Linked DNA regions of Oreochromis niloticus. The protein of the gene in region 2 binds, or shares a complex with, the protein of the main gene of each other region. Links are inferred from orthologs where the notes say so. Each region holds a gene or a part of one and is shown on either strand. Other genes may lie near its edges. The genes, in order: dffa and dffb.

The links.
Region 1: the proteins of dffb (region 2) and dffa are in contact, whole or in part, in an NMR structure (PDB 1F2R), measured with the Mus musculus proteins. The link is inferred for Oreochromis niloticus from reciprocal best matches to the Homo sapiens genes DFFB and DFFA. Residues at the interface, in NP_031885.3 of Mus musculus: Cys10, Lys12, Arg14, Ala19, Cys20, Lys21, Phe22, Gly23, Val24, Ala25, Ala26, Arg39; in NP_001020467.1 of Mus musculus: Asp66, Thr68, Ile69, Val70, Asp71, Asp72, Asp74, Tyr75, Trp94, Tyr96, Asp100.

The regions. Positions count from the first base shown.
Region 1 is NC_031984.2:22,471,423-22,483,953, reverse strand, and holds the start of dffa (DNA fragmentation factor subunit alpha), read right to left. Parts: upstream 4,778-12,531; 5' UTR 4,649-4,777; coding exon 4,558-4,648; intron 3,319-4,557; coding exon 3,160-3,318; intron 3,054-3,159; coding exon 2,899-3,053; intron 2,698-2,898; coding exon 2,493-2,697; intron 1-2,492. Other genes in the region: peroxisomal membrane protein PEX14, read left to right, coding at 6,631-6,666, 9,026-9,076. UniProt on the Homo sapiens protein: Inhibitor of the caspase-activated DNase (DFF40).
Region 2 is NC_031984.2:26,362,091-26,374,708, forward strand, and holds dffb (DNA fragmentation factor subunit beta), read right to left. Parts: upstream 5,934-12,618; 5' UTR 5,823-5,933; coding exon 5,709-5,822; intron 5,058-5,708; coding exon 4,931-5,057; intron 4,813-4,930; coding exon 4,627-4,812; intron 3,802-4,626; coding exon 3,722-3,801; intron 3,622-3,721; coding exon 3,448-3,621; intron 3,108-3,447; coding exon 3,007-3,107; intron 2,906-3,006; coding exon 2,656-2,905; 3' UTR 1,563-2,655; downstream 1-1,562. Other genes in the region: lg20h1orf174 (UPF0688 protein C1orf174 homolog), read left to right, coding at 601-741; nphp4 (nephrocystin-4), read left to right, coding at 6,936-7,115, 7,634-7,771. UniProt on the Homo sapiens protein: Nuclease that induces DNA fragmentation and chromatin condensation during apoptosis. Degrades naked DNA and induces apoptotic morphology.

The DNA.
Region 1 (12,531 bases), about 3.9 Mb from region 2:
CTCATGAGAAATTAAGAGAATGAACCGATAACAAATAAACTAAGACAGAAAAATAACACATGTTGACTAATAACATCTGCGGTTGTTTGAACCTCACCTAGAAATAAAAATACATATTTTAAGTTTAGTTTATTTATTTTGCTGCCCTTCTGTGTTTGAATGTGTGTTAATGTTAGATTGAAACAGGTATCAAAATAAAAAAGCTGCTTGTATGAATGGGTGAATGAGGCATGTTGTATAAAGCGCTTTGAGTGCTTAGGCAGAGTACAAAAGTGCTACATAAGAACCAGTCAATTTATGTCTCTTGTTCTTAAATATAGAGAAAGTTTATGTATGATTAACTTTTCACATTTATTGTTTTCTCAAATTTCCTGATTTGACCACCCCTCCTCGCTGGCTAAAGTTAAGTCAGTGATGTCTTTGACCCTCATCTAAAGAACTACATCTGGGGCCATTACTTATCTTGAGGGCTTCATAGTCATGGGACTATATTGATTATTTTGCTGGGTGTATTCATGCATATTGAGCACAGCTATTGATTACATATTTGTTACGCAGAGGGAACTGTATAAGCACCCTTTTCAAATAAATTTTTTTTTTTTGTTAAGCCACATAATAACACTGACCTATTCAGTCATAAAAACGTACCTCACTCAAGGGATGAATCTTGAGTTATGCATGTTATGTCTACACATAACAGACATCTTAGATGAGCATCAATTTTAAATTGTATCTTTGGACACTTTGTTACCACAGCCTGTCTCAAAAACACATACTGTATTTCCTTTTATGCTTGCACATTTCAATAAATTGTTGTTCCTTTTTCCATTTTCATAGTAAAATATGAATGACGTGCTGGTCAGTCACAGGAGCACGTTCAGTGAGAAAGTGAGATTACCAAAAAGCACCACTGAACGACACAGGAAATCATTACTGCCCGTGTCCATCTCCCTGTACAACTCCTCCATCTAACACACTGTAAACACTGCAATAGTTACACCCTTTTGCACACGCTCTACAGTAAAATAGCAAATGACAAAGTTCACAGGTTAGAGGGAAATACCAATCATATATATTTCACCTCTGTAATATTTTTGATATTTATAATTGAATGATTTGTATTTGTTAGTGCTATTTCTTAGATTTGTTAACTTTGGAACATATTGTATTATTTAATTAGTTTAGTCTGTTACTGTTACTGTCTTGGATCAAATGTAACCCACATAATTTTCTTAGGGATTATTAAAGTATTCTGATTCTTTCCAGACACTATTACATGGTGGATCAAAGTCTAACTTTTGTGCGTTCATATTTCTATCATTTTTGACAAGATCCTCAACCCCATGGGCTAAAATGCAGCACCAAATCATGACAGAGCTTCCAGTGTGTTTTACAGACGGCTGCAGACACTCGGTTTTGTACCCCTCTCCTGACCTCCTCTGTGGACACTGATGACAATATAAACCAAAAATCTCAAATTCACTCTCCAGTTCTTGAATAATTTGGCGTACCTCACCCATTTCTCCCAATTTCCCTTCCATAAGAATGGCTTCTTGACTGCCACCCTTCCACTGAGACCATGTCTGATGAGGCTTCTGTGAACAGTAGATGGAACAACTGATGCACCTCAGAAGCATCTCTGTGTGTGTGTCAGCTCTCTGCTTTGTTCTTCTATTTCTTCATGACATGACTTACATTGACTGTTCATCTGCTGTAGATACTTTGCCACTTCTTTTGTCCTCCAACTGTCCAGTTTACTCAAATGTTTTAAGAACACACTGCACACCATGCTAAGAAAAGCCAAAGGTTTGGCATGTTTTTGGCAGTCACCATGTTGGCACATTTTTACCTTTGGCATTTTCATTGATTCAACTAAAAAAATGGAAACAAATTATGTGTTTTTGCCTCACACTGCTAGTAACAAAGTGCCCAAAGATTCAATTTAACATTGGTACTTTGCTATGCTGTCTGTTATGTGTAGACAAAACGCTGGCTCATCCCTCGAGTTAGGCGCCTTTTAAAGCTTGTTTCATAGGTCAGTGTTAAGTGGCTTAACAAACCTCTCAGTGGAATACCTTCCCTAAAAAAGGTCAGGTACAAGGACTGCACTGAAAATGAGTACAAAAAACAGCCAATGCACAAAGCAAAATGTCAAAAAAGCTGAAGCGCAAGGCTTCAGCCTTGGAAAAACTGTTGCTCAAGGCTACCTAGAAGAATTACAAAAAAGTCAGGCTCACTGGAAGCAAAATATAAAGAAATAAAGGGTGGCTCCAGACTTTTGCACAGTACTGTAGTTCACAGAGTTTCTGTATCCCAGCTTGAATAATGACACAGAAACAGCTTTCTATGCAAGACTTAACTTGTTACAGAGTTTATATTGTGTATCCGTGTCACACTACAATAATCAGGGAATCTGATTTTCATATATTTATCTCAACAAACTATTTCCATACAGTAAACATGGCAACCACCTTAAAATGACACAGCCGTACCTCCCTGAGAAGGCTGACTTGTTTCTTCCTGTTGTCTGTTCTCCTGCTCCACAGTTTTCAGGTAAAGCTGGAGCAATTCTTTGGATTGCCTCTCTTGCTCTCTTCGATCTAAAACCCTCTGCAGCGTCTCCTGGAGCTCCTGGGCCTTTTTCTCTTGGAAGCCCAGAGCAGAGGCTAGTTCAGGGCATGGGGCATCCACTAAGGTCTGAAAAAGCAAAGTAAAACAATAAAATACAATTTGCGGCTCCTATTTTTAGATTGATTAACACACTTAAACACAGACAACAGCACATGTCGACAGCAAAAAGAACATCCCATTAGCCCGACCTATTATTTATGTGATTAAAAATAGTGACAAAGAAAGAGTGTTTATCACTTTCTTATACTTGACATATAATGTTGGTACCTGTAGGTCCGCCTCAGACATGAGAATAATGCTAGTCAGGTCCTGCTTCAGCTGCTGAGCCAGTTCATACCAAGGTGCTACAGTACTGGAGCTGTCCACAGTATCAGTCTCCAGCAACACAGAATCCCTAGCCATCCAAGCTGTGCCACCATCAACTAAAAGTAAATATCAAATTAACAGAAGGTGATGCATTCCCAGGATATAAATGATTGATGATAAAAAGGATGCAGAAAAATGTCAGACAAAAGTAAACCTGCTTACTCCTGCAAGGTGGAGACCACGTCTCTTTGTCATTCAGTAGCATGAATTTTGTGTTTGAGGGTAAACACAAAAAGTAAGCCTGATCTTCTACTACTGTCCCATCATTCTCTAGGACCACTGTGACTGAGTCACTGGAGTTGAACCCAAGACACTGTCGACCTGTTAAAAGAACAGAGAAACTACAAATATTATAGAGTGTCCCAGATTATTTTTATACTTCAAAGTGTTTATCCATCCATCCGATTCAATATCCCAGCTGACTGTTGTGGAAAGATGCGCCGCAAGTCCAGTTTAGCATAACAAATTAACCTCACATGCGTGTCTTTGGACTGTGGCGGGGGAACCAGCAAATCCAACACAGATCTTTCTCTCTGTGAGGCGACAGTGCCGCCCATATTTCAGAGGAAAACAATCAGTATTAGTGTATCCCATAAGTCAAATATTCAAAGCAGTAATACCTCAGACACCACCTGTTCATCAGGTGATTCAGCATACTTCCACATGTCAAACAAGTCAGTCCATTTAAAGAGTCAACAGCCCTTTCTTTAGAGCTGCTCCTATTTGCAATACAAAACATGTCTTACTTCCACTGGCTTTTAAAATTGTACATGTTTTCTAACAGCTATAAATCAGCACCTCTAGTTTAATAGTGCCCCAGCTCAATATTTCATATACGAGTATTTATTTATGTATATTGAATAGGAATAAAGGCAATTGATAACTTTAAGCTAGCTTCAAAACCAAGAGGGGGGTTTTCAGATAGCACCCTAGTTTTGTCACTGGCAGTTACAGGAGACTTTATCAGAATCAGAAACACACTTCTAGTATCTTCATGTAGGCGGCTTCAAAATCAAGGACCCAGCCTTGTCTCCTCCAAGCTCTGCTGACACATATAACAATCAAAGATGTAGAAACACTTTTATTAAACAGAGAAAAATGCAAAAAAAAATCTGGGGGCAACGCCTGGTGACTAGCCTTCTAGGAATGAGCAGGAAGAGCAATGACTTTTCATGTTTAGCTTCTGCAAGTTTAAACACGATGGATAAAAATGGAGATGCTGCTTCTGCTGCTGCTACCACACACAACTAGATAAGTAAGCTTATCGACAGCAATAGCAATAATCACCTCAGCTGTAATGTTGGTGCCTCCCAACACTCTCAAAAATCACTGAACATATGAAGTTCTTTCACTTTCGCAATAAGAGAACCCCGCTTTTAGCGCTCAGCACCAGTGCAAACTAAAATGACATTTAAATACAGCACCCACAACCTTTGACTGCGTGAGACGGTACTTCACGTCACTGTCACACACCCGTTCAATATTAATGAATATATAGCTTTCATTAAAGAGAAGCTCTAGCATGATAAAGTTCAGGAATGTAAAGTCATGACAACTTACCTTTTTCCTTAAGCTCATCTATGGAAGGAGCTACTACCCCATACGATTTTTGTCGTGTGAAATTACACACCTTACACGGTTTATCCGTCATTCTCGTCTGCGTTTAGAGAAGCAGATTTTGTGCTTTCTTTTACCTTAATACTGACAATTACCGACAGCAACTACCACCACTATCCTCGAATACGGAACTGCCGCCGCGCCGCTATGGAATCTGGGATATGTAGTTTAGCACATACAAAAAAACAATTCGAACAGGAAAACGCGGGAGAAAGAACTGCGTTTGTGTTTACAGTTTGAATATAACGCTATAACCTCTATAGCGCTAATTTGAGTGTATTTTTAAAAAAAAAAAAATCTTGTATTAACTATTTCCAAGCTCTAGGCATAAGAAATATGAGAATAATAGCATGTCCTTCAGAGGAGCTCCTGTTTTAAAGGTGGACTACCGCAAGTGACCGCTAGATGGCGACCAAAAAGTCTGGCCTGACAGTGGAGTCCAGTTCTTTCTTTCTTTTTTTTCTTTCTTAAAGACATTTGGTTGGTTAATTGCGTGGTGAAAATAAATAGCTAGGGAGCAGGTGGAAGAGAGCCTGGAGAGGTGGAGGTATGGTCTGGAGACAAGGGGAATGAAAGTCAGTAGAATCAAGACAGAATGTGTGTTTGTGTAACAGTGAAACCACCAAGAGTACAGATACTGAAAAGGGGGTGGGTTTAAATAGTTTAAATACCTAGGTTCAGCCATCCAAATCAGAGAGTGCAGGCAGAGTGGAGCGGGTGGAGATGATTATCAGGGGTGATTTGTAACAGTTGGATAGCAACAGCGGTGAAAGTAAAGGTTTATAAAATGGCACTGAGACCTGTATGCTTTGGAGACTGTGGCACTGACACACACACACACACACACACAAAGGAGGCGGAGCTGAAGGTAGCAAAATTGAAGATGTTAAGATTTTCATTAGGAGTGACCAGAAATTAAAAATCAGAAACTAGAAGTTAGAAATGAGTACATGATAGGGACAGCTCAAGTTGAGCAGTTTGAAGACAAAGTTAGAGAGGCAAGGCTGAGATGGTTTGAACATTGTGCAAACGAGAGGAAGTGGATATACTGGACTAAGGATGTTGAATGTGGAGCTGCCAGGCAAGAGGAAAAGAAGAGAATCGGAGAGGAGGTTCTTGGATGTAGTGAAAGAGGACATGCAGAGGGTTGTGTGACAGAAATGATGCTAAGGATGGGATGAAATGGAGGCAGATGATCTCCTGTGGCAACCCCTAAAGAGAGAAAAAGAAGACTGCATTATATGGTCCAAAAATGCACCACTTACATCACAATGTCACCTGAAACAATCCCTTTTAATGCTGTAAGTCTAGCATTTTGGGGTCTGACTTTTAGGGGGTTGCTGTAGCAAATGACTTTATAGTTTTATTTATTTGTTTTTCTTATTTATGAAATAGAGTAAATAAGTAGTATCTTCTTGCTGTGAATTCATTAAGTATTGTGATTTCTGAAGGGGCCCCGGGCAAAGCCATATTAAGCTATTATCTGGTGGCTGAATGCAAATCCGTTTCAACAAGTAGGGACTTACCACACCTCGTGACTAAGCTGTTGGCTTTGTTGTATAGATTTTTTTTCTTGTTCTTTAGGCGCAAGGGTGGGTTCAGCTGAGGAAATGATGAAGCTGACATTAAGTCTAAAGGTAGAATAGGCTCTACTATGACAAAAACAAAACAAACAGACAAAACAAATAAAAACAATTTACAAAAAATAAGTTTTCTTGGCAGTGAAAGAAAGACAGTCATCAACATTGACCACGCAGAAGTCTTAGTCTAAGATCTACTGAAGGTGTGTGAGCATGAGAATGTGCTATGAGGAAGCTGAAACCGAACTTGATGTGCTTTTATATTGTAGCGTTTCAATAACAGACAGTAAGAATGGGGAGTGAAACTTTGGAGTGAGACTCATCCTGCAGTGTCCCGTACTCCCCTGCAGGAGGCAGCAGTGCATCTTAAAGCATGTTGCGTGGTAGAAATATACCAGAATAAGAAGTGTGGCAGAAGGAACAGAAGAAGAAGAAGATGGCATCCAACGACCAAGCTGAGGCAACAACACAGGTCTCTATATGCATTAAAAGCGGTTTCTTTTTAATGTCTATTTGCGGTAGTGAACTGTTTTAGATATTTCGGGGCTTTAGATGTCTTAACGTTGGCATCACGTGCCTGGAAATGCTCACAAAGTTAGAGATTAGCATGCCTACTAGTTAGCATGCTAGCTAGGTTACGAGTCAAAAGTTGTCACTGAGACATGAGTGTGTTTACAAGTGGGCAGGAAGGGGCGTCATTTAGAGTTGCCATATTGTGTCGAAAATAATAGGGCATAGTTACTAGATTTGCCATTGTCATCAAACGATTCAGCTGTACAATTGCATCTGAGCGTGTAGCCTCGTCTTACTGTGTGCAGATAACTGTAGGTGCAACTCAAAGGTCAGTGTAGGCAAACAAACCTGATGGTTTCTGTTGGGTTGCAGTCACAGTGTTGGCTTTGAACTCACCAGCCCCCCGAAAACAAATGTCACCGAAGGTTTTTATTCATGTATGTCACCCGTGACTTCTGTACTTTTTGTTGCTACAGCTGAGATGCTGTTTTCAGAAAAAAAGATGTTTATATATGCTGTAGAGAAATATAAAAGTTTTTTTTATGTACATAGTTGAGAGCTAACGGCTTTAAGTGTATAGAAAGTGTTTACCAAATGCAGAAACTAATAAAGTCAAGGAACACTGTAATCAAGGAACTTGTGTGGATTGACAGTATTTACAAGTACTTGTAAAGTTATCACTCAGTTTATGAGCAACAGATTTCTACAAATCTACAAATGAATGCTGGCATGTGCCAGTTCAGTACTTTTTTTCTTTTTTGAAAATGCCATTCACGTAGCAGACAGGTCAAATTTCTCAGTGTGGGCAAATTATTTCTGGAAGTAAAAGAATCTGTTAAGCTATAACTATAGTCTAGTTATGTAAGTTGGTAGGCTTTCAAATATATTCTAAAATATTTATCTGACTCCACTTGAATTTGCTGGTTTCATGTTTGGACGTTACTTTTTATATAAGTAGCAATGACACTTTTAATAAAAGTTTCAACGTGACATAAGGCTGGAAGCATTTTCACATTACAGGCATGGGCCTGTTCAAGTCTACAATAGTTTTTCTGTTTCCCCTTCATCTGTGTGAGTTGCTTAGTTACAATAAACACTTTAAATACATTTTTATTGTTTTTAAAATTCTCTAAACAGTAACTGTAGCGTAGGAGTTAGAGCAGCTCATCTACTAATTGTAGGCATACAGACTGTTGCTCAAGTGTGCTTGCCAAAGTATCCTTAAGCAATTTCCTAACCCAAGTTGCTTTCTAATGTGTTCATCAGAATGTGTGTGAATGTTCCATAGAAAGTGCTAAGGCCTAGAAAAAAGTGTTTGTATGAATGGGCAAATGAAGTGCTTTGAGTGCTCAAATGGAAAAGCACTATATAAGAACCAGTCCATTTATATCATTAATGTTTTCTTTCCCAATCTTGTGGAAATGACAAATAGCCTTTTTTTATTTATTTATTTATTTTCCTGCCCATAGAACAAAATCTGTCCATATTTTACTACAAGCACTGCTCCATAAACGTCACAGTGAAATGGATACCCTTCCACAATCAACTTATTTGTGTTGTGAATTTTCCCTTCTTCACAATTTCTACAGTTTCCCATCTGTTACTGTACATAGGGAAATGTTTATGGAGTACAGCATGAAGCTAAACTCTTCACCATGATGAGAACAGGTTAAAAAACTTCTGAGTTATGACTGTAGTTAACTTTTGACAGAAGCTAACAGGAAGTTAGGTAGGTAGTTAGTTTGATGCTTGCAGCTGTTTCTAGAACTCTGTCTTCTGAGTTTATTACGTACCTGCAGAATCATACAGCAGCACAATGCATTCAAAAGCTTTTCAAATGCACGAGAGTTGCTCACATTTATGCACCCGACACCACAGAAGTAACTTCAGTCACAGTAAATTATCCCCAAAATTCAGGCAGTTTTGATCAGGATCTAGCAGCAGATAATATTGTGTTCTGTACTTCACACAGGCTCTGACAGGGTTCAGTCTGTATCTAACGGGGATCCTAATAAATGAAACTATTTTTAAGTGTAAGAGTTGCCTGATCAGTTTGCAAAAATTTGCCAAAATGCGAAAGAGTGCTGAAGCACTTTGCATAAATGTTGTTGATATGCCTGAAAGAAGCCGTGAGGCCTATTATTGTAAAAGTGTCCCATACCTGAATAACCGAATACTATCACTTTAATAGATAGAGCCAGCAACGTTACATACCGTGTGCTTGTAAAGGGCGACCATAGTTACCAAGCTTCAAACTGACATTACTTCTGTTTTCCACTAGATGGCACTCTAATACAAATGTTTGTTTATGTTCCCAGCCTGGCCTTCTGCCTGGAAAAGATGGAGCACGTAGCCCCAGAGAAGAACTGGTAAGAATTTATTCCTTAGTCTGAATTACATGAATTATTGGTAAGGAAACATTGACTGTAACCACAAAAACATTAAATGAAGCTAATGTAAGTAATGTAAGTGAGAGCTGGAAAGAAATAGCAGCTTGGATCAAACGATGCAAATATTAAATTACATTTCCTGTAAAGAAAACAAAAAGCAATGAATAGGGTATCATAATGGCTGGAAATAATATTTCAGATATTCTCACATGGCACACGCTGTGATTCTTAATACTAGTGCTCAGAAGTGTGGATTTTTCAAAAACTCAAGTATTAGTGCGATTTTGAAAGAATGAAAATCTTCTAATTTCTTGGCTTGATCTGGTGATGCATAGTTGAGGAAGATTATGATGGTTTTTCTCTCCCCCCCCCTAAGATCTGATAATTTAAAGACTTTTATTTGGCTGTATTACACATTCCCCAGGGAGATCCAGTATTAAAGGCTTCCAATTAGCAGACAGTCACTTTATACATCACAATGATGTCCCCAAGCTGTAATGAGAGTATACTTTATGTTCTTGGTCTTTAGAGAGGAAAATGGTCTATTTTAACAGCAGCAATGGGTTCCACAGTTTCTTTAATCATGCATAGCATAAAACTTTGACTGCACATCTTTGTTGTTCTTTGTTTATCCTTCTTTTTTTGTAGTCTGTGTCAGAATTGGGTCAGGAAAGTCGCTAATTTGGAGTTTCTTCGCCATGTAGTCTCCTATGCAAACACAAAGGGCACTTGAAGGTGTTGGTCCCTCAAAAAGGTGTTATAAGGTGGTGTTTAACAAGAATAAATGTCAGTTTTTCTCTTCAGTAATGTGCAGAGTGTTTATAAGGCATGCTTGGCCCAAGCGATGACTATAACCAGGAATGTTTGGTAATTGCTAAGTGGGATGGAATCCATCCCAGGTACACTCACTGTCCTTGTATAGGCACAGCATGCAGGTTATAGAAGTGCTGTATTGTTCAGCCTACATGTCTCAATGTCATTCACCACCATTCACTCTTCATCTTCCCCCCATCATCCCTTCATGCCAAGGCTAATTTAATCCTGGGGTTATTGATTGTGGGAGCATTCTCCCAGGCTTTCTTTCAATTTACTTCAATTTCATCATCCCAGTGCGCTTCAAGACTGTCTCCTCAAAAAAGGGAAGAAATTCTTGTTATGAGGGATTCGAGACCGGTTGACAAGTCCCACCACCACCCTCACTTCCAACCCCTTTTCTCCTTTCTCTTTTTGATGAGCTGCTCTTTCCCAGTTAAGTGGATTATTACAGTAGGGATAATTCTTGTCACATGGCATTATTTGGATGAGGTGAATAATTGAAATTTGTGTCTGAAAGGATTTTATCTGGATGAGAGGAAAGGGAGTGCTGGCAGGGTTGGAAGGGCAGGAAAGAAGGAAAAGCAGTCTCTCTCTCTCTCTCCCTCTCACTCACACACACACACACACACACACACACACACACACATTTGCATAACATCTATGTGCACATGTGCATGTCAGACTGGGGACACCAGTCATGTTAACAGGTTCTGACTCACCTCGCCCAGATCAGCAGGCCCTGGCACACTGCACGGCATGGACCCTCCTCAGTGGCAGGAGGGTCCAGCTCAGGGGCCGGTGCCACAGCCTCTGCCACTATACCAGGCCAGACAGGGATATCTGGACCTGCAGGTTAGAGCGAGAAGAAGGCGTGGGAGAGCCTGCGTGAGTGTGTGTTTCATGGTTGACTGGTATACCAGTCGCTGCCAGTCGCTGCTATTGCCTCTGGCACTGCTGTTTGCTCACTCTAACCCCGACCGCCTCTGTCTCAAATCCCCACCCCACCTCCTCCCACCTTCCACTCATCCCTGCCATGACCATTACCCCAGCCAGTCTATTACTAGTCTTTCCCCAGTCTCTGTGCTCTCTCTCCCTGTAGTGACACCCTGCGCTTACCCCTCATCTTCTTCAGACACTGTCTCTGACTGCCTTTAAAATCACCCAAACACATGACGATGCTATTAATGAGCAAAAATTCCACTGACCAAATGAGAATACTGAAAGAAATTGGCGAATATATTGGCGTAATATAGATATTTTGACAGGTTAACCAGATCTATTGGAATAAAATTAAAATTTACTTCCCCAAAATAAGATGCATTATAGTTTTTATGCATTTATATTTTAAAATGTTTACATTTCTTTTCTCCTGTTAGAAACTATATGATATGAAAGAACAGTTTGGCTTTGTACTTGTGTACTTTAAAGGTATATTTTTATTTTAAGTTTTTAATTATTTTCCTGAATAATAAAGTTAAAGTTGTATATTTCTTGTTAGAATTCTTGCTCCTTAATTTCCTTTGAACCGATTAACTCGGAACTCTTTGGAAATACACTCACTACCTCGGATCACAAACTAAAGGGTCACGTGTCATCGCTAAATGCAATTCTTACAGATTTAGGTTACCGTTTACCCCGTTCTTTACTCTTTGCACTGAAAAAAAAACAAACCTCAGTTTAAGAAGTGCATATTTGTTTGTGGGTATGAAAGCGTGTGGTTTTTTTGTTTGCAGTAGGTGCTTCTGTACCTTTTGCACATGTAGACACAGATAGTGTGAACTGGGCGTGTTTTATGTGTTTAGGTTTGGGGATTTTAGTACAGCAGAGGGAGGGGAAAAAGAACGGTAAGAAGAACAAACCCCCGGTCTCACAGCAACTTCAAAAGCTCTCCTTCCCCAGGATATTAAGCGACTGTGATGAAAAATTTAGCAAGCGTTAAATAAGCCGCTTTGAAGTGATCTGTTTTGGCTCAGCAGTCTCCAAATTTCCGTAGCCCCTCTGCAATAGCCATCTCGCTACAGAGAGGGAATAAAAGGAACAGTGTGTTAAGTGCAGAAGTTGTGGGGGACCTGGCTGGTTGGCAGAGGACCTGCCAACAGTAATTGGTGTGGCCAAAGACATGAAGGAACCACTGCTGCCGCTGTCCCCTTTTGTTGTTCTCTGGATCGTTCTCTCCTTATTTCACCTCTCCCTTCCCTGATGGGTCTTTTGCTGAGTCCCGTGAGTTGCAGGCAGACAGATGTTGCTCATATGTTTGAGTTTTTTTTTTCCTCACATATGCGTGGGTGTAGCACAAATGTAACACAGTGGTGATACCAGGAAGTCAGAGGTTACTCTCGGGTCTTGACTCAGTTATTTTTTGCCCTCAATGACTTTTCCCATGGAACATGTGTTTAAAGGAGATGTCTCCTTTTAATATCAGTTTACCCTAAATATGCATGTATGTGAGTGAGTGTAGAAATCTTCAAAAGATGTCTACAAGTTAACCTAAAAATGTACATACAGTAGATTTTTTTTTTTTTTTTTTTTTTTTTTTTTACAGTTCAGCCACCATAAAGCAAAGAATAACAAGAAGTGAATCTCTAATTTGACAATCATATTTCAATTCATTTCACATC
Region 2 (12,618 bases):
CTATTATTCTAATCTATTCATTTAAAGCTGCTCTTCTAGGGTGTTTTGTAATAGACATGGGAGTTGGAAGATATGTTAGACTTGTTATACATTTGGACCTTAAAATTGGTTTAAATTTCAGCAGTAATTGGTGCATTATTGGATGTACCAAAAGGGTCTTCCTGCTAATAAAACACAAAACATGGGCAATAATGTGCAGAGTAGAAGACCACGAGTTGTTACACAAAAGCCTCACTCTGCCAGGAGTCCCTAACGTATCATTTTAAGTTTGCCTTGAGGCCTTGAGGTTTGGATTCTTTCTCTCAAATAAATATGATTTGCAGTTTTTTTTCCTTCTCTTTTTCTGGTCTCACTCAGTTAACATTAAACAAACTGACATTTCAACCTCTTATCAGCAGGGCTAGAGTTATATGAGAGCAGTAACAACCCCTAGTTAGCTTTGTTACTCACTGATAACTTTAATTTTATCCATACACATAGATTCTATCCCCCCATTCCCACCACATCTCTAGGCCCATCATTCCTGCAGTTATATCTTCAGCACAATTTGTGAAAATAATGTTGCATTAAATGAATTCTAAATATGGATTCATCCTACAGGATTTTCCTGAAAGATCATCCACGTCTTCTAGCCGCGCCCAAAGGAAGAACAGGAGGCGACATTACTATGCTCGAGAGGACAGCGATGAAGACGAGGTGGATTTCAGTGGCGTGCAGCGAGACAACGGGGTGGGCACTTAGGCTACATTCACACTGCAGGCGAAAGCGCATCAAATCCGATTTTTTTTTTACCCTATGTGACCCATATCTGATCATGGTATGACAGTTTGAACGGCACAAATCCGATATTTTCAAATCCGATCTAGGTCACTTTCGTGTGTGGTACTGAATCCGATACATATCCGATGTTTTAGAAAGCGACTGCTGTTTGAACGGTCATGTCGCATTAAATCCGTCTTTTACGTCACTGACACAAGACAGACGCCAATTATCAGCGCCGGAGAAGCGCCCGAGAAGACATCGCGAACGCTTCCTGGCCATCCAGTGTAGATGTCAGTGAAACTGTTGGGAAGACAACGTGAACATTTTATTTGTACTGTATAATCTGCAGATTCTGACAGAAATCTGCAACTATCCTTTGAAGCACCGCTCCTCTCAGCAATAAGGATCATTATTAGGTTATTTACATTATTATGTAAATAACAAAATAACTTAAAGCAAAAATTTGAAAACGTAAAGTCCGAAGTCAAACAATATTGTTTGCTCTGGGTCTAAACAGAGCGCGTTGTGTGTGACGTCTTTTTTTGCGCATGTGGGCCGCTTCGAGCGTTCACACTAGAGCGCGTTTGCTGTCGCATTTATTTGTAGTGTGAACAAGCAGACAAAAAAATCGGATTTGATCAAAAAATCGGAATTGAGCATTAACACCTGCAGTGTGAACGTAGCCTTAGTTAGGAGTTGCCGCTCTTATAACTGAGAAAGTTCTGCTTATGAAAAGACATTAAACCTCTCAGCACTTGGAAAACTACCTGCTCAAACATTGCATTCAATCAATAATTAGATTTTTAAAAAGTCATAACTGCAATAATAAAATTAAAATGGCCAATGTGAGTAAATGCAGTAATGTTTTGTGAAATTTTTGCTGAATGTATGCTCACATAACACCTGGTGTAGCCATAACTGGTGTAACCATCACCCGTGTTTACAGCACATTGTGTAGAAAATTGAATCCTGAGTGCAGCTTCAGATTAGCCTCTGAGATGCTAAAAAAATGCTGGATTTAAGGTTTTGTTTTCCCATACAAATGAAAACTGATTAATTGTAAATGTTACATGCTGACAAGAGCAACAGAGTGACAATTTCAGTCTAAGTTAAGATTACACGTCTGTAACGAGGAGGGATGGAGCATGAACTTCTGTACTGAGAGTTTTAATAGCACAAATTCATTGCTTAAGCTGAACATCATCAACAGTTTTCTGCATAAAAGTCATTATTCACCAAGTGTCTCTTCATCCTCAACTCATGTGTGCTCACGTTTCTGGCAGCTTTCAAATATATAACACATTTGTATCGATACATAATCAATGTAATGAATTAATTTTCCCTGAGAGGGTTCTTCTAAAATTTGTAAAAGAGTGTTGTTTAAAAAAAACAAAAGGTTCCTCATACAAGACTGCAGTCTGAAAGACTGGATAATTTAAACCTGAGTGAAAATGTAATCTAACCAAGAGGCTAACCGTAATTGCACTAGATGTTGTCGCCTGTATTTTGTACATGACTGTTCTAAACCGTCCAAATATTTTATATATTTACTGCCTTATTTATATCAATTTGCTTTTCACATTCTATGCAGCATTCAGAGTAAATACATGATTTGTTATCATCTTTGTACTTAATTTGTGTACTTTACATCACAGTGCCAATACAGTGAACAAATAAATGAATTTCATGGTTTCTTAAGTGTGGTCGATCACTTCCATTATGAAATTAAAGCTAACCATGGTGGGTTTGGAGCTCAAGCTGATGTCACGAGTCACGTCGAGAAGATTGCAAAGGCAAATTTACCTTTCCAGCTGATGTGATGGGTTCTTTTCAGAGTTAATTATTTACCAAGTTCATCAAACAAATCACAGTCCACTCATTTGTCACAGGACATCAAGTCATGCGCCTTTTCTTTACTTTGGGCTTCTGCTTTGCTTTTAGATCCTTGGTGGCATTATTATAGATCTTCTTGGTGTCACACTGCAGGTTGTGAGATCCTTTTTTGTGGCAGACGATGTGGACCAGCTTCAGGTTTTCCCTCGTGAACAGGAGTTGGTAGAAGTAGTTGAGGTTGATGTCAGTGCTCCTGTGATTTTGCAGAGCTTCCAGCAGAGCGGGAATAACTGTCCTCTTCTTTTCAATCCTGGAAACAAATTGAAGAATTGCATGAAAGGAGGTAAAGCAAAAAAAAAAAAAAAAAAAAACTCCAAAAAATCTTGTAAATAAACTAAAGGTGGCGTGAACCTGTGGTCCAAATTCCAAGTGCTGAAGACAATCCTGCCCTCGCGGCTTCCATAGGGGTTGATAGAGTGAAGAGATTTGCACACTTTCTCATCAAATGATCCCTGAGGACGCAATTTAGAGGAAGAGGAACTTAGTCTGAAGCACATCTGGACTTTTAATATTTTTGAGACATTTTAAATGTAATGACTGTTAAGCCTAGTTAAACACTACTTTTGATCATTTTTGCTCTGATGCTCACACCACAGTGCACTTTTGTCTCTGACTCTTCTGTTCACATACAACTAACCTCGGACGAGTCAGTTGGAGCAGATCCCAGCTACTCTGTACAGATTCAAGAGTCTTTCCCTCAGAGCTCAAAAGCCTGTGACAGTGTAAAACTCATGTTGCCCATTCAACTCTGTTAGACCTCTTAATACCTCACAGCTTGCATTCTTGTAGTACCTGGCAGGTGAACCATCCCTCCTGAGTACAAAGGCGATCTGGTTGCTTTTCAGTCCTGTCAAAGTAGCAGCCATTGTACTTGGCTGTTTTCAGCATTTCTGTGAGGCTCTGTGAGGTTTTCAAAAACTCTGCCCTCACTTTTGCTTTCTGTATGGATTTGGTGGCATCATCCAGCTGACAAAAACAACAAAAAACACAACTGTTAGAACAGCTGACTGTGGATTAATCCTGTAAAGACCTCAGGTGCAGAGTGTTACCTGACTCCCAAGTTTACCTCTTTCAAGTAGCCGCGTATCCTGCTTTCACAGTTGTACTTCATGTAGGCAGACTTTGTTTTAAATCGAGAATCAACACCTGAAGAGAAACACACATAACAAGATGCTCAACAGATTCATTTAGACTCACATCAAGAGAAACATCTGTGACAAAAGTTATATTTTCCAAATATAAGGGTGTTGAGTCTTCACAATGCTTTTATACTGGAAAAAGACACAAGAGTGACTTAATCTATTCATGGTTTCCCAGTTCTCTAGTAACAGTAGCACATGTCTTATAGTGCTTTTTTTAAAGGGATTTCTTTACATTGACACAGTATTTGTAATACTGCCTGTGTACAGCACCATAATGGATTTTAAAATCAATCAAAATGTGATTAAAGTGCAAATTTTCAGCTTTATTTCAAGGGGTTTGAGCAAAGTGTTGCATTAACTGTTTGGGAATTCAAGTCCTTTTTATACATAAGCCCCATTTTCACAGGCTCAAAAGTTTGTTTTTTATCTATCTATTTATTTATTAATTATTATAATTTATATTATTATTCACAGTACATGTGAAGAAGTAGCAAAGTCCAGCAGAGAGCAGTAGGGCGGGGCAGCCTCCACCCTTCATGACCCGCTTAGGTCAAGGCTCAGCAAGACTGTTAAATCCCTTAAATTAAAGCTGAAAGTCGGCACTCCAATCACATCTTGATTGTTTGCTTTAAAATCCACTGTGGTGGAACACAGAGACAAATTCACGAAACACTGTCACTGTCAAAATTCCTACAGGCCTAACTGTACTTCTTTGAGCCTCGTGCAGACAGGCTGGGAGTTTGACCTCAAAAGAAGCCACGACAGGAAAAGTCACAGGAACTCTAAAACAAAACCAGGAGCGCTTCTCCAAGAGGATGAAGGCTGCTACCTTGGAACCAGCCTTCATCCTCCTCTCTGCTCTCCAGCTCCGACCTATCCTCCAGGTTCTGTAGCAGGTCTGTCAGGATTTTACGCCTCTTTGAAGATTTCTCATCAGAGAGGAGCCCCTTCGCTGCTTCAATGAGGCTGTCGGCATGCCGGTCTGTGTCGAGTAGCTGACTGATGTCGCACACAACTAAAAATCAGATGCATAAAGATTAGGCAACATCACAATCATCCAGCAGTTTAGCTGACTGGGAGAATAAAACCACAAGTTTACAGTTGAAACACTTGTCTGGTGTTGATCCTCCTACCTCCACTCCACGTCTGCCCTTTAGATAGAAGAACCAATTCGGTGTTATCCGCCAAAGTTGGGAAGAATTCCTCCGTCACTATTGTCCCGTCCTCATACAAGCAAACACGTGCACCAGAGAGTGGCACCTGGACTCGTGGAGAACATAACAGGTAAAAACACCAATGACAAATGTGTTGTGTGGACTAGAAGTGGAAGCTTTTTAGACCAGATAACTAATCTGTAAACTTGACATATTTTATAAGAGAGCCATCTGTGAGAGTCAGTTCAGATTAAATGGATTCATTTATCCGATGTAAACTCTAATTAAACAAAATCCCTGTAGTACAGATTTCCACCAACAGATCATTTCCTCTTTGTTTCAGCTAGTTTATACAAAATGTGCCCGAGGCCATACTCAATAATGAACGAATTCTGCTCCCAGCCTATCATAAACAGAATTTAATCTAAATGCAATCAAAAAGCATCTTGAAATATGAACGTAGAGGCTACATGTCACTTTGACCTGAACGTGACATAACTGTTGCTTTTTCACTTACATCCTGTTTACCGAGTTCTCTAAAAATGATGCGAAAATTATTTTATGTCGTAACTTCTTCACAGTGGAGATGATCTTGGACCAAACCAATCACGTATCGAGTTACTACTAATTAGGAAAAATAAAAGCGTAATTTCTTTTGTTTACTAGCAGCAATGACGTTTATGTCACATTCTCTCAGATAAAAAAGCGGAACAGCAGTGTAAGGTGTTAAAAACTAACTAATTCCCACAAGGCTCACCTGTAGCAAATTGCAGGCCTTCTTCAGTAGTTCCTTCACATCTTTTGCGGCAATTCCATATTTCCTGTTTTCACTGCAGCTCCTAACTTTTACAGGTTTAATTTTCCCGAACATTTTGCTGTTTTGTTTTCGGTTTGTACCTACCGCTTCCTTCTTCTTCCTCCTCTTGAGGCTCGGAGCAGCAGCGGAAGTGTGTGACTGCCGCCTATTGGTGCTTTTCCTTATTTTCTTTGCTAATGTGGCGTGATTGGTGGTGGAAGTAACTTATATTTTTTTACATTACAATAATATCTTCATGGGGAAAACATTCCGCTTGTAGTAGACACACTGAATATCAAGTACACGTTGTGAATATTAGTGATTACAATAATAATGCAATTCAAATGGCTTTATTAGCGTTACTGTTTATATAGGCTATGCAACACTTGACAACAAGCCACACATCTGTCTTTATCCCTGTTGAAATCTTCTTTGGATTCCCACAGTTCTGTTTTTGTCTTCCTCTTTCAAACTGCCAGCTTTTTATCACTGGGCCAGACATTCTCTTTTCTTTTCGGTGCATAATTTGTTTTTCTGTCTTTTGTTTTTAGACAGCAGTGTTTTGTGAGAATGGGCAGCATGTGTCCTTCTGGGGGAACTGAGTCTAAGCACCCCCCAAAATTAGCTCCTTATGTATTCGCCTTATTAGCTTAAGACTACAGCCAAAGCTCCTCCTACAAATTATACTCTACTAATATATAAAAGATAATTATTACATGTGTATATTTAAAAAGAAAATAAAATTTATATTGCGAGTGTGGCAATAAAATAACTTTAAATTGGAGATGCTGACGTTCATACAAGACCTAAATGGAAAGATGAGTATTACCATAGCAACTGACGCAGCACGATGGGAAATACCAACTGAAAGGTATGAACGATTAGAGGCGGCCAATGCGAAATTTTCTGTAGATTTTAAATTTCGGGAATAAAATGTAGACTTGCGTTAGAAAATACAATTCGTTTACTAAGTATATTTTCAAATAATGTTTCTCATTCGTGAACGCTCCTGATGAAATATTTTATTACATATCCCCCCCTTTGTACTAAATGGTAGAATCTGATTTCAATATGGCGGCCATCTGAACGGATGGAGAAGACTGAATTCAGAGTAAAACATTGGCTGCGTTCAACATTTCTGAGTTTTTTTGTGCAATGTCAGGGTAATGCTTATTTTAACTAAAGGACATGGTAAAAATAGAAGACATACCCAGCATGGCGGACGAATGGAAGCAAGTGTTTGAGAGGAACCGGGTGGTTCCCCCGCAGAGCCAGACCGTAAGGCTGGCTGTGGAAAGCCGCTTCACCCAGTCCCACGGCTTCCAGCTCACCCTCAACCGTGTCACTGCAACTCACCTCCCACCACAGGTGACCGTTTACAGTTAGCTTTCAGTGCTGATTAAAAACATAGAAACAACTCTGCTATAGCAATTCACTAGAGGTTTAGCAAACCTAAATTCAGTGTATTTTAATCTGTGAGCTTGACTTTGCGTTGACTGTCAAAATAAAAGACACGATAAGGCCTATTCAGTATCCATCTCTGTGAAAGTGCGCCTGAAGAAATCTCGCGAAGCTTTGAAAAATGTTATATTTGAAGGCAACCATACATTTTTTTTAATCAAACACACAATCAGTGTCATGGGATTATTAGTAAATTCGGTCTATATATAGAGCATCAAACAGTACCAAAGTGAATCTGACATCCACTACTTGCTGGCATTATCAGTTACAGGGATGCAAAACTGAGCATTCAGATATTGGGAACCTCATTCTGGGGTGTTTTTTACATGAAGTTGGATAATAGTCATAAAGGAGGATTTAAGTTTAACTCTTCACTTGTTAACAGTGACTTTCCTAAGATGCATGTGCTTCCTTTTTGCTCATAGGAGAAGGCAGTGGGAGAACAAAGTGTGACTTACCAACTACGGGCAACGCTGTTTGACAGAAATCATCAGCACTTTTTTGGGAAAACATGGAAGAGCTCACCTCAGACAATAAAAAACAACAAGATAACTTTCAATGAGGTAACTCTTCTCTAACAGACATCCCACTGAAACAAGTTTACTCCAAACAGCACACAGCTGTTCCATATATATAGGCTCTTTTAAAAACCCCTCTCATGTTATTTTGGCAAACAGCGAGTAGATGATTATGTAGTAAAATCAATGTGTATTCATGCATAAATTCCATTCATTTAGGGCAACCGTTATTTAATTAAAAGCAACTCAAAAGCTTTACCAATTAGCCGTGTTTAAATTAGCAGCATTGATTTCCCTGAGTTCTGCTATGCTCTTGAGGATCCTGTCAGCTAAAGCACAGCAAATTACAAACTGAAGTGATTGCCAATAAGTGATTCCAGTTGCATTTGATGACTTCGACTCTGTTTTCTCACCCTGCAAGTTGAAGAAGAGCTAATTTCATTGTGAGGTAAAAACTTACTATTAGAGAGAACTTTGAGACAAAGTTTCATTGAAAATATCATGATTGTATTACAGATGTGTGCCACTTTATGGCAGTGATCAGTTAGTCCTGGAAACTGTAATAACTCAAAAACATGTCATTCATTATAGAAAAACCACATATTATGTCCAGTATTGCTAGAAAGACCTTTTACTCATTCATTTACTAGTCTTTACTTGTCTGACAGTGGTAATTGTATATAATGTGGTGAAGTGTAATAAATAGCTTATTACTTGATGTTGCCTAATCTTTATGTGGGGTATTTTTTATTTCAAAAATACCCCACACTAGCCCACACTAGCACTTTGGATAGTGTGCCCAGGTTAAAGTTGTGTGGAGTAATATACAGTGTGAAGTTGTTTAGCTTAATGAACTAAGACAAACCGCACAGCTCATCCAGCAGCGCCAAAGCCAATTGGAGGATCAGACAGATGCATATCTCAGAAGTATGTGATCGCCTCTCCCCATATCAGTGAGACTGAAGTTTGCCTGCTGAAATTAATGTGTTATGGTGCCAAAAATAGTAGTGCAACATCATCATGTTTCTCAATACTTTGTATTACTTTGAGTGTCAGGTTCAGACAGAATGACCTCTGTGCAAAGTGAGGGAATTTTCAGCCGCAAGCAAATGTGTTTGAGCTAGTTTCATCTAGAAACGAATGACATGAGAGCTTTGCCCTTTCTGGGCCATTAGGTGAAGTCCAAACAGGCTGAAATAAGTGTGAGTGACCGCATGAGACCGACAGCGGCAGGGCAAAAAAAGAAAGATGTCCATTTGTAACTGTTCAGCAGTCCTGCTAAGCACCAGCTGGGGGGTTTTGAGTAAGCCATTGCCCTTGGAGATGCTGTGATTTGCTTTCTATGATTGTGTGACAACCAATCATAAAAAAAAGAAAAAAAAAAGCTGGCAGTGTAACATTGTGGAGACTTTGGTGTGTTGTGCTACTTTGGCTCAGCCTTCTCTGCTTCACACTCTCTCTGAACAGATGTGATTGAAAAATCAATCAACTCTTTTCACTCAAGACTGTGTACTAGCTACAGAAAACTTAACATCTAATAGTGCACATAGCAGGGTACCTCATTTAATGTGCTTGCAGTTGCAACTCATTAGTTATCTGCCCATGCACACAAGTGAACAAGAACAAACGTTTCTGCTACCTTGCTGTAACTGTCATCATGGATTTAACTTGTGCAATCAACAAGTTCAGCAGTCCTGCTAAGAAATCAGCATGAGGTTGTTTGCAATTGATACACAAAACCTGCAAAAGACCCAGTGAACTATAAAATGGGCCAAGTAACTTGTGGGGAGTCTTTGGCCATGGTAGCATTTCTGCCTGGACTGAATTACAGTACAGCACACTGGAAGCCAGCTTCCCAACCAAAACACTCTTTTTTTGTTTACTGGGTGTTTAGTGTTACTCTACTGTGTTGTGCTAGTGAGATATTGAATCTCAGAAGATACCAGAGGCTTGTAGTACAAAGCAGGATTTTGTCTTATCCAGATAACTTCTTAATTAACCCTGAGTTTGCCTCCTGACCCTTCAATTCTCTGGAAAATAGCGACACCATTGTTGGATGAGCCTTTGCCCACTGTGCCCACATAGTAGGATGGGATAAAGTTTTTTTTAAATAAAATCTCATATCTATGAATTTCCCCCAGTAAGAATTAGTAATAACTTCAGATTCTAGACTTTCACATTTATTCAGTCTTTTTTCTTCCTGTTGGCTTCAATTGATTTCACAAAAATCGTATTCTATAAGCATAACTATATAACCCTAAAACAGAGCACCTTTGTATTTGTGGTTCTTGTATCAAATTTCCTACATGTTTTTTATTTTTATTCTTTAGTTGGTCTCAAACTCTTAAACACCACTGAGACTGCAGCTGAAAGAATAAAAGCTAAAACCTGTCTTTTAAAAATTAATTGAATTAAGTACTCAATTATATTCCATCAGATTCTCCTGTGGCCTAATGATAGAGCTGTGATACTGATAAATCTGTTAAATTATACAATCAGTATTTTTGCCAGCTCTCTTCCCAGGCTTCAAATACGGTAGACTTTATTACTATAATAGATCTTGTCCAGTCTTATTGACTGCAAAGCACTTAAAGCGCTCACGTGTTTATATAGGACTTTTAGTATTAAACTGTTGTATAGTGCTGTCCCTCTCTCTCTCTCTCTCTCTTTCTCTCTCAGACACACACACACTCTGCTGCTTTTTCTGTAGCAGATGTGTTGCTTTCAGTCTGCATTGTCTGTTTAACAGTCAGCTGATCTGCTGCCAGTACACTTAGCCATGCTTGTAATTGGTTAGCCAGTTGGTCTCCTGCACGGGAAACCCTGGGTTAACTTAGTGAGCTGACAACCCAGTGAGGGCTTATTCTGATTGGCGAAGTTAAAGTCAGTCAATCCGGAAAACAGAGTTGCAGAGGGGTGCAACATAACTAAGATCGCCCTTTGGGACAGCTACAAGTACTTATGTAATGCTTGGTGTGATTTAGCACATGTATTAATTTTTTTTTTTTATTGACTTGGGATTGCAGTTGTATGCAGTTTCAGTCAAAGGTCAGATTTGTTGCGCTTTAGTCTTTACGATTCATTTTCTTTTTTCCCCAAACATGGTTTCAGTCTGTTCAGAGTCTTTGAGTCTTTTCTTCTCTGTAATCAAGGGGAACAAAAACGGGGAACAAAAAAGTATTTTTGATGTCAAGCTGCATGGTGTAAAGATCTGCTTTGATGATGAAATTTTCAATTTCTTATTGAAAATACCGAAGGGAATGTCGTGACAGAGAAAGACTTGAGATACAAAAGATAAAATATACCACACTGATATTGAAGTGCACTGCAACTTGGATGATCTTTATCCGTTGGGTGGGTTTCCTACAAGAGAAATATACCAGGTCAAATCTTGATTGAGTGGCTGATGTCTGGAGTTAGTCCCCTAGGCCCTTCATGGTTTCTGCACGCTGCTCCAAATACTTAAGACAGAGACCAATTTTCATATGTGGATCAATGAAAGAATCCATATATTCAAATGGAAAGATCTTCTTTTCACCCAGGAACCCACCAGCGACTTTCCTGTACTGTGAGTAAATTCATGATGGCAACAAGTAGCTTTTTGTGCATCACCAGAGCTTTTTTGGTTAGGTGTGAGGATACTTTGCCAGTGAAGCTCCAACCGATGTTTTAACATCTAATGCCCCTACCATGCAGTTTACTAAAGGTTCACTTTATATCAGTGCTGGCAGCGTTGGAATTTTCCTTGTAATGTCAAGCCTCCTTTCTACTTTCAAACCAGAAGTAAGATCAGAGCTGAATCTGATAAATCCCCTCGATTTAAAAACAGTATTTTATTTCAAATGTAACTGTGCCGTCAATCCACACATCTACCCACCCACCTGCTTAAATCGCTTTTTTAATGTAAGTGTGCATGCGGTGAAAAAGTTCAAGCTTTTATATTTCAGCCATTACTGAGATTTAAAAAGAGACGTCTTGTTAAATCACGACGTGCTGTTAGATTTGCTTGTAGATTAATCCGCCAGTCAGCCATCTCATCTTAACAGCTACTTTAACACTGGATGTTAAATGATTTACAACTGAAGTGGCTGTAATGTGTCTTTTATGTATTACATGAATACATTATTTTAGTTTGCAAAGACTGCTACATGCGGTGATTGTGACTGGATGCCATATTGAAATTCCACATTGCATGTTGCATTTTCATTTTAATTTATGCAAGTTTGCATTGTACCCCAAAATGGTGAGCTTCTGGTCCTGGCAAGCAGGGAGTTAGTTCTAAGAAGGTGCTTCAAAAGGACTGACAGCAAAGGGGATACACAGTATTTTGCAACTGTTTTAGCCACTTTTTTTTTCAATCCAAAGCTGCTATTGGTGAGGTGTCCCACAAATGAGACAGATGAGATGGCACATGACCCCAAAGTACTGCCAGAGCCATGCAGCAGATGGTATGACCCCTACAGAGCCCTGATGTCGTTACAAGAAAGTGCCATCTAAATCCAGAGATCTCTGGCAGCTTCTACAAGCTGCTGTAGAAGCACTGCTAAACCGCTAAATTTTGGAAACAGGAATTATGTACCTCCCTCTAAATTAGAGAAAAGTCAGGTTTTTAGTTTTGCATATATGACATCTACTATAAGAGAATCTTGGGGATGCCACCTTCAGTTTGTGCAGTAACTAAGGCCACTCTGATGCAGAATAGTCACCTTGCTGATGGTGGGGTTTTATTATCTTCCTGTCTGACGAGTGACTGCATTTACCTGCCAGAAGGTTTCTTTTGAAAAGCCCTTAAGTTGTGAACTACATAAGGTGCCCCTGTGTAGTCGCATTCCTTGAAAATCTTGTCTCCCTGCATCATATTTACTATCATTTACTGGGCATTTTGCTATGTT